Saccharomyces cerevisiae S288C: one gene and its partners. The main gene of each other region encodes a partner of the protein of the gene in region 3 in a complex. Each region holds a gene or a part of one and is shown on either strand. Other genes may lie near its edges. A codon is read from its position in the direction of its gene.

What was found. Proteins that work in one complex are often made in the same cells at the same time.
Region 1: the proteins of NUP82 (region 3) and NUP116 are in contact, whole or in part, in a crystal structure (PDB 3PBP), measured with the Saccharomyces cerevisiae proteins. Residues at the interface, in NP_012474.1 of Saccharomyces cerevisiae: Asn171 (codon at 2,455), Ser172 (codon at 2,458), Phe173 (codon at 2,461), Gly174 (codon at 2,464), Leu175 (codon at 2,467), Asp176 (codon at 2,470), Thr199 (codon at 2,539), Thr200 (codon at 2,542), Glu201 (codon at 2,545), Gly202 (codon at 2,548), Gly203 (codon at 2,551), Asp204 (codon at 2,554), Pro284 (codon at 2,794), Phe285 (codon at 2,797), Thr286 (codon at 2,800), Ile287 (codon at 2,803), Asn288 (codon at 2,806), Pro289 (codon at 2,809), Phe290 (codon at 2,812), Tyr295 (codon at 2,827), Asp296 (codon at 2,830), Tyr297 (codon at 2,833), Thr298 (codon at 2,836), Val343 (codon at 2,971), Asn346 (codon at 2,980); in NP_013762.1 of Saccharomyces cerevisiae: Lys1029 (codon at 758), Thr1030 (codon at 755), Cys1031 (codon at 752), Ile1032 (codon at 749), Ile1033 (codon at 746), Pro1038 (codon at 731), Ile1053 (codon at 686), Cys1055 (codon at 680), Cys1058 (codon at 671), Val1061 (codon at 662), Asp1062 (codon at 659), Lys1063 (codon at 656), Ser1064 (codon at 653), Thr1065 (codon at 650), Arg1066 (codon at 647), His1074 (codon at 623), Gln1075 (codon at 620), Leu1076 (codon at 617), Arg1079 (codon at 608), His1080 (codon at 605), Arg1083 (codon at 596), Leu1084 (codon at 593), Asn1089 (codon at 578), Tyr1102 (codon at 539), Phe1104 (codon at 533), Val1106 (codon at 527), His1108 (codon at 521), Ala1109 (codon at 518), Glu1111 (codon at 512).
Region 2: NUP82 (region 3) and POM152 share a complex: the UniProt entries of both Saccharomyces cerevisiae proteins name them as parts of the nuclear pore complex.

The regions. Positions count from the first base shown.
Region 1 is NC_001145.3:362,864-368,398, forward strand, and holds NUP116 (FG-nucleoporin NUP116), read right to left. Parts: upstream 3,843-5,535; coding exon 501-3,842; downstream 1-500. Other genes in the region: CSM3 (Csm3p), read left to right, coding at 4,118-5,071; ribosome biogenesis protein ERB1, read right to left, coding at 5,231-5,535. UniProt on the Saccharomyces cerevisiae protein: Functions as a component of the nuclear pore complex (NPC).
Region 2 is NC_001145.3:525,899-532,317, reverse strand, and holds POM152 (Pom152p), read right to left. Parts: upstream 4,515-6,419; coding exon 501-4,514; downstream 1-500. Other genes in the region: DPI35 (Dpi35p), read right to left, coding at 1-199; ATP-dependent RNA helicase ECM16, read right to left, coding at 4,819-6,419. UniProt on the Saccharomyces cerevisiae protein: Functions as a component of the nuclear pore complex (NPC).
Region 3 is NC_001142.9:318,072-322,874, forward strand, and holds NUP82 (linker nucleoporin NUP82), read left to right. Parts: upstream 1-1,944; coding exon 1,945-4,086; downstream 4,087-4,803. Other genes in the region: mannose-ethanolamine phosphotransferase LAS21, read left to right, coding at 1-1,705. UniProt on the Saccharomyces cerevisiae protein: Functions as a component of the nuclear pore complex (NPC).

The DNA of each region.
Region 1 (5,535 bases), on a different chromosome or scaffold from region 3:
TATATTGATAATATAACTATTAGTTGATAGACGATAGTGGATTTTTATTCCAACATCATTTTCAATGAAGCTGTGACCTTGGCATTCGCACCGCTTGACACTACAGGACGAATAAATTCCATGTTCGGGTGGTGGCTAGAGGTACATATGCGGTAAATGTACTGTATAGCCCAGCATGTTTTTCTTAACAATCCAAGTTTGCCATCTTAGTATAGTGGTTAGTACACATCGTTGTGGCCGATGAAACCCTGGTTCGATTCTAGGAGATGGCATTTTCTTTTTTTTTCAAAGAAAAGAAAAAGGGAAGGCAACAAACGACATGAATTATTGTCTTTTTCAAAAGGATGTAATTATCGCAGCAGGTCTATGAAGGGTCCCTTTTCTCTTTTTTATCACTTGTTCCATCTATAATTTTATACTCAAAAATTTAACAGGTTAATTACACTAAATGCATTACAAATTTGTATTTGATTCTATATATAGTTTCGTTATATAATAACTCAGGTCTGCTCTGCAGCGTGGTTTACGATAAACACGTATGTACCACTGTCTGCATCATAGCTTTCGAACTTAGAATTTGGATTTTTCTTTAAGCGTTCGATATGCCTTTTAACCAGTTGATGATTTGGATCCTTTATAGGTTTTCTGGTAGATTTGTCTACAGGATAACAGTTAAAGCAGGTAATCCTGGCCCGAACATTAATGCCCTCCCCTCTCTTCGGTCTGTTTGGTAAGTTCGCATATATTATACAGGTTTTTGGTTCAAAAGTAATGATTACGCCCCCTAATGAGGTCAAAGGAATTCCAGCGAGGTCAACAGGTTCAAGAAATTCAATTTTACCATAACTTTTATGACCCACAACTAAATGAGGAACTTTGCGCAGTTGCAAGAGAGAATAAGAGGATAATGTGTCCAGGGATGGTGAGATATAGTAGTTCTCATTAATGAAGGAGGCATCTTTTTCCGCAACGTCCGCAAAAACAGCCTTTTTATCATCTTCTGAATATTCTTGCTTCTGTAAATCGGCGACATTTTCTTTATTTTCTTCGTCCATATTCCGGGAATGATGTTTCGTTGCGCTATCTTCCCCATCGTTCTTTGAGGACAAAACCATTCTTTCCCCCCCATTAGCAGTTTCTTTTTCATCCATCTTTGGCTTTCCCAAGATCGTTTCTTGTTCTTCACTTTTACTTTTAAAATTCATATCGTTGTTCTGTGATCCGTTATTCTTTTCCTCGGATGCGATCAACATTTTCCTGTTATTAATTAGATTCTTGAATGACCTTTTATCGGGATTGAATAATAACTCAGAAGCTTTTAATATGCTTTCGTCCAAATTTTCCTCCTGCTGGTTAGAAATCGCAATCTGATTATTCTTTTTATCAATGGAAATCGACAACTTTGGATCAACCTTGATCTGGGCCTTATCCATGACGGAATTATTAGTCTTGAGCTTGGCTGTAAATAAAGTTTTAGGAATCATTTTGTATGCGTTCGTCAAACTGGCTTTTTTGCGTTCATCGGCTTTGATCTTTGTAGCGCTTGGTTGAATTGGATAGGAAACCGTGTTGGTGACAGTTGCTTTCGAAAAAAGCTCATTAGTACCGTAGGGATTGTTATTCTGAATTTGTAATCGTTGTTGCTGCTGCTGTTGTTGGAGCGCATTTTGTGATTGTGCCATTGACTGGGAAGGTTGGGAAAATAACCCTCCGCCCGAAGTGTTCGTACTAGTGTTATTCTGAAATAAGCCTCCAGCATTAGTAGATTGAGAGGTGTTATTACTACCAAACAGGCCCGTTGAACCGTTGGAATTGTTTAGAGACGAGTTGTTATTGTTTCCAAATAGTCCTCCAGCACTTGTAGAAGCTCCCGCACCAACTGGTTTATTACCAAATAAACCAGTAGAATTGGTGGTGGCCGCCGTGTTAGATGCATTATTGGACCCAAATATTCCACCCGAAGAGGCGTTTGGAGCCGTGGAATTAGTACCTCCGAAAAGGGATCCTGTAGCAGGTTTGCTACCAAATAATCCGCCGCTAGTTGAGGCAGGATTGTTTTGATTTGCAACTTGATTGTTTCCAAATAATCCGCCTCCAACAGTGTTTGATGGTTTTGAACCAAACAGGCCACCCGAAGCAGGTTGCTGTTTATTTTGGAACAAACCTCCTGATTGCTGCTGCAAATTATTTCCACTTATACCGTTACTTTGATTTGTTGTGCTGTTAGAGAATAAGCTTGTATTTCCAAAACCAGTTGGTTTCGCTCCAAAAAGACTATTATTCTGTTGTGGTTGTTGTAACCCATTTTGGCCAAATGGCTGATTATTATTTTGATTGGTCTGGCCAAACAATCCACCAGGTTGGGACTGCGACTGGTTGTTTTGTTGTCCGAATAATCCCCCGGTTGATTGCTGTTGTTGGTTATTTTGCCCAAATATAGAATTATTTTGGGCATTACCAGACGCAAAAGTGGATGCTCCCTGCTGTTGTCCAAACAGTCCTCCTGCAGGTTTGCTTCCAAATAATCCGCCTTGTTGCTGTGGCTGGCCAAATGCGTTTGAGGAGTTTTGTTGTCCAAATAATCCGGATTGGTTCTGGCTTTGGTTATTCTGACCGAACAATCCTCCAGCGTTGGAATTTTGTTGCTGGCCAAATAACCCTCCTCCACTTTGCTGCTGATTGGTTTGCCCAAATAAGCCACCAGTGGTACCAGTGGGGTTGGTATTCATTCCGAATGCTTTTGAACCAGCAGATTGTCCAAATAGTCCACCAGAAGCAGGTTTAGCTCCAAAAAGAGCACCAGTGCCTTGCTGTTGGCCGAAAGCGCCACCATTTGCGTTAGCGTTTGATTGACCAAATATACCACCACTACCTTGTTGTGTTTGTTGTTGGGGAAAGGCACCACGATTCACCTGACCAAAGGCTCCCCCGTTACTGACATTATTCGCCCCAAATGAATTTTGCTGTTGACCAAATAATCCTCCGTTTGTATTTGAGTTCTGCTGGCCGAAAAGGCCTGTATTATTAGTGCCGTTTGTTGGGTTGTTAGTTGTATTACCAAACAATCCCCCGGAAGTGGCAGGTTTATTTGCTCCAAATGCAGAATTTCCTGAGAGGTTAGTAGAGCTTCCAAACAATCCTGTAGAGTTGGTCGCTCCAGAGCCAAAGCCACCACCACTTCCAGTTCCGGTTCCAAACATGCCTGTTGCTGGCTTTTGACCAAATAATCCTCCTGTTGTAGCAGAAGTAGTGGAGTTATTATTACCCATAATTCCAAATCCAGTATTGGTAGTTCCTTGAGGATTGTTAAAAGTAGTACCAGTGCCATTTTGACTGGTACCGAATTTTCTACCAGCTTGGTAATCTTGAAATCTCAATTCTTCAAAAGAAAAATTTCTGTATTCAGGCATACAGGTGATACTTTGGAAGACGTTGATGACACCTGTGGTTGGATCCTTCTCTTCGAATGTAGTAAAAGGTTTAATGCTTGTACCTGCAGTAGAATTGGGCACAACAGAAGCGGAACCAGCAGAAAGTGCTGTGTTATTACCCATTCCACCGAAGATCGAGCCAGAGGCATTGTTGTTCGTCAATTGACTTTGACCAAAAGGAGTACCATTTGCTGTAGTCGAGCCTGACATTCCGAAGGGAGAATTAGAAGTTTGGTTACCAAAGTTACCAAACGCAGGTGCTTGTGTTGTATTTGTTTGCTGACTGAGGCCGAAAGCAGAAGTGTTTGCTACTGGTTGTTGTTGTTGCTGTTGGCCACCAAAGGTTGATCCTGTTGAGCCAAATGGCTGTGTTGTTGCGCTGGGGAATGCGCCACGGCTAACTCCAAACATAATAATGTTTTAAAAAAGAAATCTTCGAAGCTGAATGGTGCCTCTCAGTTGCCGGGATCTCTATGCAATGCTGATAGTTTCCTTTGCGACCTTATGACACTTTATTAACTCTAAGTATAATTTAGTTTTGTTCTTTTTCTAATGAGCATGGTAAGGAAAAATGCCGGGTAATGATAATCTGCAAAAGTGACAATAATAAACTGACGCGTAACAAGATCAATGATATACTGGATTAAAATGCCATGAAAACGTGAACAGAAACTTTTATTGAGGTCATGGATCAAGATTTTGACAGTTTATTACTAGGTTTCAATGACTCCGATAGTGTCCAAAAAGACCCAACTGTACCAAATGGCTTGGATGGTTCAGTAGTTGATCCTACCATTGCGGATCCAACCGCAATTACAGCTAGAAAGAGAAGGCCTCAAGTAAAATTAACAGCCGAAAAACTACTCAGTGATAAAGGTTTACCATATGTTTTGAAAAATGCACATAAAAGGATACGAATTTCCTCAAAAAAAAACTCATATGACAACTTATCAAATATTATTCAGTTTTACCAGCTTTGGGCACATGAATTGTTTCCCAAGGCAAAATTTAAGGATTTTATGAAGATCTGTCAAACAGTAGGTAAAACAGATCCAGTTCTTAGAGAATATAGAGTCAGCCTTTTTAGGGACGAGATGGGCATGAGTTTCGATGTTGGCACACGGGAGACTGGGCAAGACCTGGAAAGACAATCACCTATGGTTGAAGAACATGTCACTTCCGCGGAAGAGAGGCCTATTGTCGCAGATAGTTTTGCGCAAGACAAAAGGAATGTAAACAATGTCGATTACGATAATGACGAAGATGACGATATCTATCACCTTTCTTATCGCAACAGAAGAGGACGAGTTTTGGACGAACGTGGGAATAATGAAACGGTACTTAACAACGTTGTGCCGCCTAAGGAAGATTTGGATGCATTATTGAAGACATTCAGGGTACAAGGGCCCGTTGGCCTTGAAGAAAATGAGAAGAAGCTCTTATTAGGATGGCTAGATGCGCATAGAAAAATGGAAAAAGGCTCTATGACTGAAGAAGACGTTCAACTGATTCAAAGTTTGGAAGAGTGGGAAATGAATGATATAGAGGGACAACATACTCATTATGATTTATTGCCAGGGGGAGATGAGTTTGGCGTAGATCAAGATGAGTTGGATGCTATGAAGGAAATGGGCTTTTAGCAATGTCATTGAAGGTAATAATCCAAACGTGCGTGTGGGCATCTATACATATAGGTTTATATATATTGTGTAAATAAAGCTTGTAGAAAGAGCCTGGTTCGAGTGTTTGATTTTTTCTTCTTGGGCGTTATTATACAATATCTACTTCAAATTATTTATCTAGGTGGTCCATAAGCGAGCCGTATTATCAGCACCGGCAGAAAACAGCCAAGCTTCCCTCGGATGCCAAATAGCATCAAGAACACCCAGACTATTGATTACTTTATGACCGGTTAGTTTCTTTAGTGGCACAATCATCGGATTTTTCATCATGTCATCATAAACAGTGGCATGGAAAACATGTATGGTACCGTCATCAGCGGCAGAGCTGAATAGAGGTAACTTTTTGTGGAAATTCACACTTCTGACGGCTTTTTCATGATATCTTAGTGTCTTGTAAGGTGTGCTAGCCAAATCCAGGTCGT
Region 2 (6,419 bases), on a different chromosome or scaffold from region 3:
AAACGTGTGGAAAATTGTTTGTTAAAGTCGAAGGATTCGCCTTGATACCATATTTACGCCCAACAATGCAGTATTGTTCCATGACGGGAAGTTTTGTGGCGTATAGTGTATTATATGCGTCGAAAGTAATAATTAGTGGCCTTGCCACCCTATGAACTTCAGACCACGCATTTATAGGTATTCTTTTCGGATAGGTCATTGAGCCAATTTCTGTGGATGTTCAAAAGTCTGCTTTTAACACACCTCTATAGACCGTAAAGGACAAAGGTCTCAGCGCTCTCTTTTTCTATTCATTCACCTACACTCTTTCGAGTTACTATGAGCGAAGATAATTGAATCGAGCGTCTTGATAATTTTGAAGAAAAAGAACAACAAACAATACAGGCGTCTTTTTCGCTTTCTTAAGTATTTTAATACTGATGTACAGAGATATATTATACATTACAATTGTACAAAAATATTGCGGGAAAGAAAAATTTCATCAGACTTTCTTGTAATATTTAGTTATTGAAAAAAAGATCATTTTTGGCAAAACAATAAGCATCTGTAATTTCAATCGCCTCGTAGGTACCTTGCAAGCTTGTAATTACCTTGTATTCATGAGAATATATATCAGTGACTTTATGCGTCTCAACAACCTGCGACCTCCTTTTGCCGTGTTTTCCATCAGTCTCTTCTGTCCTTACATAAGTTAGTGAGAATGGTGGGGTACCTTCAAACGAAAAGATTACTTCAGCCTGGTCACCTTCGCGGATATCCTCAGTAACGTAATTTCCTTGAGAAACAGTTACGGAAGGAATAGGATGTATGTTTAAAGATAAGTCATCAAATTCACTCTTTAATTTAGGGTTCGTAAAGTCGACAATGCATTGTGATGATGAATCCTGTAAAGAAGTGATAGATATAATGCCCGGTTCAGATGCTAATCTAACAAATTGGGAGCTGCGTTCCTTAGATTTTAGTGGAATACCGTTGAATTCATACTTAATCATGAAAGGTGCCACACCGTTTAATTGATATGCAACATAGTCCCCAACACAATACTCGGTAGAAGGATCTAATATATGTATCTTTGGTGCATCAGTAATTGACACAAGAATTTGATTACGCGGTCCAGATATGAGGCTGTTAACACAACCATTTGCGTCAACAACAGAATCAATAGTAATGGCATGGTTACCTAACTTCATCCCTTCATATAACTTTTCAAATGAAAAGTTCTCTGAGTCAATGTTGTCAATGGTATACTGATCTGTCCTACTGGTACTCTCGTGATAAACGCTAAAGGTGATTGAAAATGGGCTTTCGCCTTGTAAAAATTTCAAATTTATTGGTTCCAAAAATGAGATTTGATCTACATTAGCAGCACATGCACGCAAGGTTTTACCACCATCAGCAAAGGCGACGTCTGGAATGGGGTGCACTGTCTGTTTGATTATGAGCTCCGACTGATGTTCTCTAAAATGTATGTCGCTTTCACCATAATTGCCATCGAAGATGGCCTTAATAGTAGTTATGTACTCTCCAGGAATTTGATTAGGCAGTTTCAGTGAAGCGTATTTGGTTGCCACCTGAATTTTTTTTGTAGAAATATGACCGTTGGGTGCCATCAAATCATATTCTAATATGAATGGTGGAGAACCAAATAGAGCCAAATCAACCGTACCTTCCATCCCTTGACAGACTTCTTCTTTAGAGAATAAATTTTCCGTTACTTTTGTAATGTGATGATTGTCTTGAATTGCAAATTTTGGCTTCTCCAAGAAAGATACCTTATACAGACTGTTCCGGTAAATCACATTACCTTGGCAACTTGAGTCACGAATATCGACCAATTGGTAAAGCCCTTCTTTACTTACTTTCAAAGCGGGCTTATAACTATTCTGAAATTTGTTTTCAAATTCTTTCACAATGTTTCCATCGTAATCCATGTGTTTAAACTTAACGGTGAATGGCCCCTCTCCACTTAATTTGAGCGGAATTTCAGTGACAGAACCGTGCTTAATTTTAGCTTCTTTGATAGGTTCAAAAAAATTGAATGCAGCAGATGGAATATCTCTCCTCACCTGTATTTTAGCATCTGGTTGGCTGAGTCCAACTACACAGCCGGTAGAATCCTTGATAGAAACCAAAGATAGAATATAATCACCACCAGTAGTAAAGACTGGTGTTTTAATGACATATTCGTTGGTTTTTATTTCTTTAATTTCAAAAGTTTTCCTCTTGCTAGAAAAAGTTTCAATGATATCATATGTTAACGTAAAAGGGCCTTGGCCTTTTAGTGCTACTGGGACACTGCTGTGGTCACCCAAACAGAGTTTCAAATCATGGTGTAATTTTAGTGATGCGCTTGGTTTCACCCTCATTGATGTCTTGAAAGTATATTCTTTTACAGGTTCCAATTTGATTGGTTCAGTGAATAATTTATTAGAAACAGTATCAAACACGATTTCATAGTTACCTTCTTTAGGTGGACTATAGCTGAAGCGATTTCTCGTACCTTCAGAGGTGTATCTCTTTGCATCATATAACTTTCTTTCACCGTTTTCAAGCTTATAGATTTTAGTGTTATAATAGTATGGTGGAGCCCCAGTAAAAGATAGTTCAAAGTTTAGACCAACCTGTCCCACACACTGGTCCAATATTGGAAATGATTTAACTTCCATAGTAGGTGCAACTGGCATAGTTACAAGAACGTTTGATTTACCCACAATTTCACCTGGACAAAACTTAGATTCAATATATTCTAAGTTATATGACCCCGGAAGATCCGCTTGCAACACTTTGGTCAAAGAATCTGTAGTAACATTCATTATCTTTTTCGACTTGTCTTGTGCATCAGTATAGGATAGGCTAATAACATATGGAATGTCTGAAATCCAGTTTTTGATTTCTTCAAACACGATGGCAATAGACCTTTTTGTGGGTGACTTTGGATCAAATCTTTCTTCTAGCGCTGCACGTGGAACCTCATGAACATTGAAATTATAAGATAGATCATAGCGCTTTTTTAATTCTTCAGGGAGAGATGTAAAATCCACGACATTTCCCAGACCATCAGTTATTTTATCAATTTTATATGCAAATTTGCCGTCCTGGGTAATGGAAGAGTCTAAATTAATATTAACAGGTTGGTTTCTTCCCCATTTCAAATCGTTTAGTTCTCCTTGAGTAAAACTTTGTTTGGATTTGCTTGACTGCAAAGGAGACTCAAAATATTCTGGTTGCAAGCTGGAGTCTACATATGAAAAAGTTTGACCATTAACGATCTTAGAGTATGCTAATTTCATTGGGGGCACACCTTGAATTTCAAAAGAAACATTATCTGAATCGCCAATACATCTATCATTGCTTCCAGTTCCAGTAATAGATGCAATTGGACAGTAGGGTACAACCAAGTGTGACTGATGGATCTTTAAATTCAGTTTTTTTGAATCAACAATTTTTTTGATTTGATAAAAGCCAATATCTTGAAGAGTTACAGCCAAATAACGAATTGTACTGCCTTCTTCAAAATCGTTTGAATGTGACTTTAGAACTGACTGATCTTTTTTTAAAAAGGATTTGGGGTTATCGATGATTTTGAAGTCTTTCTTACTCAAAGACCGTAACTCTACCGAATTTGTGTAAAGATCTCTATATTCCAACTCGATATATTCAATCTCTTCAGTTGAGTTTATTCTGATGGGTACGTCAATTGAGTTAATTTTAAAAAGATTGGTATCCATGGGCAAACAATATGATTCATGAAGAGGATTAAACATAGCTGTGTTTTCAGGTAGGATCTTGATTGTTAGAGCACCCTTAAAATGAGCGGAAGAATCAAAAATACGATGATGGTTAATGGCTGAACCTGTTACACTTAATTCTTTCGTATAAAGTTTTCTCCATGTGGTCATAATTAATGAAATCAAAACGAACTCGTGATCGCTTGATATGAAAATGTTCAATAGTAGCATAGCTAAAATCTGGAGATAAACAACCCATGGCTTAAAAGTCAACCTAGGAATGTTAAAGGATGGTAAAACATACAGGAAGAAGGAATCTATAATGAAATACTTGGATATGAAATTAAATCGATAGTTCTTAAACAGTAAACCCGAAAGCGGTAACCCCGATTTAAGTATTACCAGGTCATATATTTTATAACATTGAATTATTAAAAACAATATCACCGCAAATGTCCTTTGTTTGGAAATTTCTAAAACATCGGTTGATATTAGAGGCAGTGAATAAATGTCTACCTTTTTATCACCATTAATGTAGCGGTCTTTGCTGTCACGTTCAGATATCCTTGATTTTTCATCGCTTATGTTACTTTCAGTACTTTTAAAGCTCCTCGAGCGTAAAGGTCGGATTTTCTCAGCGGGCTCATCGTCACTATATTGGAAGCGTCGTGTTGTGTTTACATTAGGACGACTGCTATAAGATGGACGTGGTGATCCTGACACAGAACTGCCCATCCAATGGTTCCCTCGTGGAGTATCATTAAACACGTTATATCTGTGCTCCATTATACAAGCCTCCTGATAAACGTATCTGGTATGATAAATCTATAATCCGTTTTGAATTGGTTCGATGAGTTTCCTCTTATTATGTCTTAAGCAATTCTTACTTTTGTTCAATAAAAAAAACGTATAAAGTTATTGACTACGTATATAATGACATAAAATACATAGTGCTATAGAACATAATGTTTTGAATTATGAAGGAAGTTAACATTAAGTGGTTGCAATTATTTGATGCCCTAGATAGGAATAATGTATTCTTCCTATATGTTCTTATATAATGAAACTCTATTTCTATAATACCAGCGCATTATTTTTTTTCTTTCTCTTCACCTGTGATGGTCTGGAAGCCCTTTCTGGTGATAAACTTAATGACTGTCCACTGGCCTTTTTGCTTCTTCTGATGCACTGCTATAGGATTTAAATCCCAACCAATCTTGAGATCGTTGTCAACTGTGGATCCAAATCTAGGAACCACATAACAATACCGTTCCGTAGGTGATAAATTAACGGTCTTCAAGCCTTGACCAGTCAGAGGTTTACTGTATGTCAAAAGAAGTCCCTTTCTTGCTATGTTCGCTAAGGGGGTGCTTGCGATGTCACATAAAGTATTCATCCTTGTTTTATTATTTCCACCAAGGTGCAAGGAATAATAGAGCATGTATTTGGGTGGCATTTCCCCCAAATTATTTAAAATTGAAGTCGGATGGATATAGACAAAGCAGTCCTCGATATTTGGTGTTCTCGTGGCCAAAACAGGAATATAAGGAATGTTGATTATGGAAGTTCTGTTGGTTATCTTAGCATCATCTGGAAATAAAACATCTGCTCTTACGGCAACATGGTCGACAAAACCAGCGCAAATCATTTGTTTTAAAAGTTTTATTTGTATGACGCTTGGAATATCACTTTTCAAGTCTTCATTCCTAATTACTACGGCAATATTTTCTTTTGAAGTGTTGGACTTGATGATATACATTAACTGCTTCCTCAATTTTACTATTTCTTCCATTAGTTTGCCTCTTAAAAAATTTTTCTTCATGAATATTTCTTTTTGTTCCTTTGGAACGTAGTCCATTGCACTTACAACACTTAATAAACGGAATACGTCACTAAATTTGTCTAATTTACTAAACTGACTCCTGCTTTTATAGAATTTACTGCGCAATTCCTTTTTCAGTTCAGGATCCATACCTGGTGTTGATTCATCGTGCTCTCTAATCTTATCATCTAGATTTTCATCTGGATTTGGTTTTCTAGAAATTTCGTTTATTCCCAACTCAAATTCATTGATAAAAGGATCTCCCACCGAAAGGGCACTAACAATTGCTACAATATAAGGAAGGCAGGCTTTTTCGTCAGAAACAAGTAACATTTTGGAAAATCTGGGTGAAAGTGGGAACAGGCTCATTTTTTTACCATCTTCAGTAATCATCTCCTTATTATCAAGAGCACCTAAATATTGCAGTAATTGTATTGCCTTGGAAAGGGCAACTCTATCTGGAGGAGTTGGAAATGGAAAATTAATGATATTATGAATGGCCATGCTCTTCATTTGTAACACGATGCTCTCCACTGGCATTCTTAAGATTTCAGGTTTAGAGAACTGTTCGAAATCATGTTCAAAAACAGCAGACGAATATAAACGGTAACAATGGCCTGGTCCAGTACGACCTGCTCTACCGCTTCTTTGATTGGCACTAGCTTTACTTACCCAGCCCACTTCAAAACTCTGTACGCCATTTGATTCATTATATTTACGCTCTTTAGACCTCCCGGAATCAACAACATATCTAACTCCAGGTATAGTTAACGATGTTTCTGCAACATTTGTTGCAACAATACAAAGCCTAGAACCTTGAGGAGGTTTTTGAAAGACTCTCATTTGTTCCTTGGTTGGTAATAGAGAAT
Region 3 (4,803 bases):
CGAACTGGGCAACCATGGTGGCTCTTCAGCCGGCGAAACATCAGCAGGATTGTTGTTTTTGTCACCTAAGCTGGCGCAATTTGCTAGGCCAGAATCGCAAGTAAACTACACATTGCCCATCAACGCTAGTCCGGACTGGAATTTCCAGTATTTAGAGACTGTTCAACAAATTGATATCGTCCCCACCATAGCAGCACTGTTTGGTATGCCAATCCCCATGAACAGTGTTGGGATAATAATACCTGACTTTTTACAACTGTTGCCCAATAAGTTGGCAAGTATGAAAGAAAATTTTATGCATTTGTGGAAATTATCAGACCATCACGGCGAGGTTGCTCTTGACGATTTCACTGCCGAAGATATTTATACAAAGATGTACACTATTCAAGAAACGTTAACCAAGTCTGCAACAAATTATAATTATCCTCTTTTGACACTGGCTTTTGTTGGTTTCCTCATAATAACAATCATCGCCATTTATGTATTATTACGTTATTCTGGGCCTGATTTTTGGCAGTTGCGCGTTTCTTCCCTGTCTGTTCTGTTAGTTTCCATTATACTAGGCGTTTCCACATTTGCAAGTAGTTTCATTGAAGAGGAGCACCAACTGTGGTGGTGGATAGTAACTGCATTCTCGGCGGTCCCTCTGTTCGTATACCGATTGAATGTGCTCATAATCGTGCGCTGGTTTATAATGATGGCATGCGTACGCTCAATCAAGTTTTGGAATAACAGTGGCCAGAAATTCATTTATTCTAACGTTATGTCCAATCTACTTAATCAGAATCCTTCCTGGAAGTGGTGCTTAAATATGTTGACATTTCTAGTGCTGATAATGGCATCTGCTGGTTTTCAAGTACTACATTTTATTGTCACTACTATTTTGGTGGGGTTGTGTTTCACGTACAAAATCTCGTGGGAAATCGTCAATGGTAACCAGGCAGAAATACCGCTCTTTATGCATGATTTACTGGCTAAGATAGACTTTGCACCAACTGAAAGTAACTTGATTGTACTTGCGCGCGTTTTCTTCCAAGCTTGGGCTATTGTTGTCATTTCAAGGTTGGTCCTGACGAAATTGAAAGTACTTAACAAGAACTACCTCATTAAAGATATGAAAGTTTATATAACAATTCTTTTGATGTTCCAAACTTCTTCTCAGAACATAGGTCAATTTCTCGTTTTCCAAATATTAGAGTCCCAAATTTTTTACTTTTTCCAAAATATTCCAACCGCCTCATTAACATCAACAAGTAAGATTTATTTTTCGAATTTGGTGTCCTTAATTTTACAAAATTTTACATTTTTCCAATTCGGTGGCACAAATTCCATTTCTACTATAGACCTTGGAAACGCATACCATGGTGTTTCCTCAGACTACAACATCTACGTAGTGGGGATATTAATGTCCGTTGCCAATTTCGCGCCGGCAATATACTGGTCCATGCTACCGTGGTCAATAAACTACGCCTCTATTCCAGCACAAGTTAAGTTGCAAACGTTCATCAGAAGTAAGTTACCTGCCTTCACCTATCATTGTATATTTGGAACTTGTTTGATGACGGCATGCGTCGTTTTGAGATTTCATCTCTTTATTTGGTCCGTTTTCAGTCCAAAATTATGTTATTTTCTTGGGTGGAATTTTGTGATGGGATTGCTGAATGGCTGGTTACCTGAATTGGCCCTCCTTTGCGCTCTTGATTAACATAGAATTGTTCACGTGGTCTAAATATGTATACATATATGATAGTTTATAGATTCATACTGAGACAAGTGAAAAAAAAAAAATCTACTATCGACCTTCTCTCTTTTCGCGGCAGCAAAAATGAAAAATTAACTTCAATAAAAAAGTTGAATACTTTCAAATATTCTAATTGCATTTAATATTTAAGCAACAAAAGGACAGCGATAATTGAGTGGTGGCTTAATTCTATACTCCAAAGTATGTCCCAATCTAGTAGGTTAAGTGCACTTCCTATTTTCCAAGCATCGCTTTCGGCAAGCCAATCTCCACGTTACATTTTTAGTTCTCAGAATGGCACAAGGATTGTTTTCATTCAAGATAACATAATAAGGTGGTACAATGTACTCACTGATTCACTTTACCACAGTTTGAACTTTAGTCGTCATCTCGTCTTGGATGATACCTTCCATGTAATATCTAGTACGTCTGGTGACCTACTCTGTCTTTTCAATGACAACGAGATTTTTGTAATGGAAGTTCCTTGGGGCTATTCCAACGTTGAAGACGTTTCCATTCAAGATGCATTCCAAATTTTCCACTATTCAATTGATGAAGAAGAAGTTGGTCCGAAATCGTCCATTAAGAAAGTTTTGTTTCATCCAAAGAGTTATCGTGATTCTTGTATAGTGGTTTTGAAAGAGGATGACACTATCACGATGTTTGACATCCTTAATTCGCAAGAAAAGCCTATCGTTTTGAACAAACCGAACAACTCCTTTGGTTTAGATGCACGTGTTAACGACATCACAGATTTAGAATTCAGTAAGGACGGATTGACGTTATATTGTCTAAACACCACAGAAGGCGGTGATATCTTTGCATTTTATCCATTTTTACCGTCAGTATTACTGTTAAATGAGAAAGATCTCAACTTGATCCTAAACAAATCTTTAGTAATGTACGAGTCCCTGGATTCTACAACAGATGTTATAGTTAAAAGGAATGTTATTAAGCAGTTACAGTTTGTGTCAAAACTGCATGAAAATTGGAATTCAAGATTTGGCAAAGTCGACATACAAAAGGAATATCGTTTAGCCAAGGTTCAAGGACCATTCACGATAAACCCCTTTCCCGGCGAGCTGTATGACTATACTGCTACAAATATTGCAACCATACTAATTGATAATGGGCAAAATGAAATTGTTTGTGTCAGTTTTGATGATGGGTCTTTAATCTTACTCTTCAAAGATTTGGAAATGTCAATGTCGTGGGATGTTGACAATTACGTGTATAATAATTCTTTGGTTCTAATTGAACGAGTCAAACTACAAAGAGAAATTAAGTCTCTAATAACGTTACCTGAACAGTTGGGAAAACTTTATGTCATTTCCGATAATATTATACAACAAGTAAATTTTATGAGCTGGGCTTCTACATTGAGTAAATGTATCAACGAATCGGATTTGAATCCACTTGCAGGATTGAAATTTGAAAGTAAACTTGAGGATATTGCCACCATAGAAAGAATTCCAAACCTAGCGTATATCAACTGGAATGACCAATCTAATTTAGCCTTGATGTCGAATAAAACATTGACTTTTCAAAATATTTCAAGCGATATGAAACCGCAAAGCACCGCAGCTGAAACAAGTATCAGTACAGAAAAAAGTGACACGGTAGGAGATGGTTTTAAAATGAGTTTCACACAGCCCATAAATGAGATTCTTATTTTGAACGATAATTTTCAAAAAGCCTGTATTAGTCCATGTGAACGAATTATCCCATCAGCAGACCGCCAGATACCTTTAAAAAACGAAGCTAGTGAAAATCAGTTGGAAATTTTCACGGATATTTCCAAAGAATTTTTGCAAAGAATTGTTAAAGCTCAAACTTTGGGTGTTTCTATCCACAATAGAATTCATGAGCAACAGTTCGAATTGACGCGCCAACTACAATCGACATGCAAAATAATTTCAAAGGATGATGATTTAAGGAGAAAATTCGAAGCACAAAATAAGAAATGGGATGCACAACTAAGCAGACAGTCAGAATTAATGGAGAGATTTAGTAAATTGAGCAAGAAGCTATCTCAAATCGCCGAATCCAATAAATTTAAAGAAAAGAAAATAAGCCATGGTGAGATGAAATGGTTCAAAGAGATACGAAACCAAATATTGCAATTCAACAGCTTTGTTCACTCTCAAAAATCCCTTCAACAAGATTTATCGTACTTGAAGAGTGAACTAACTCGTATCGAGGCAGAAACTATCAAAGTCGATAAAAAGAGCCAAAACGAATGGGATGAGCTACGCAAAATGCTTGAAATAGATTCAAAGATAATTAAAGAATGCAATGAAGAATTGTTACAAGTTTCTCAGGAATTTACTACTAAAACTCAATGAGTAAGCGACTTGCATAGTCTGCTATCATATATGTACGCTAAGAAACAACTGGGCAATGGTATAATATCATGTAGCAAGAGGACATTATATATGAATTGGTCAATATATAAAGCCTTCTGTGCACCAAATCGTTAGGATGATTTTTCAGTATGCTGTATCATTGTATCGTATATTCATTCGTATCTCTTTTACCTCACTAACCGCTGCCAAAATTTACATGTATACAAAATAAAAGTCTTTTTTATGACCTTATTTGGTGAGTAATGCTACTTTTGTAAAGAGTGATGGAAACTATTATTCCAAAGGGTTAGAAGAAGGTGAGGAATACGTTCATATCACCGCTACAGATCGTGTCTCTCGGTTATGAGTAATCAAACCCTCTGCAAGCAACACAGTTACTTTTTTTCGGTTTTTTCTTTTCGTGTGAATTTTTATCCAGTGAGTTTCCTTGTTCACTTTCGAGAATGGAAGGCTGATTTCGAATTTTTATATTCAACAACTGTATTTGTATTAGGCTTTGCAATAGTAGATGAAAAGTGCAGAAGACGAATCTGCTACCCTCACAATACAAAGAAAAACAAAATCGTCATTTTAATATAGGAAGACACCGCTCAGGTAATTCAATATTGAATCTGGTTGCACTTTTCTTACGATGTAAATACCCACAAACTTCTTGTACGGTGAGCGTCTGACAACGAAATCAATTTACGGAGCAAG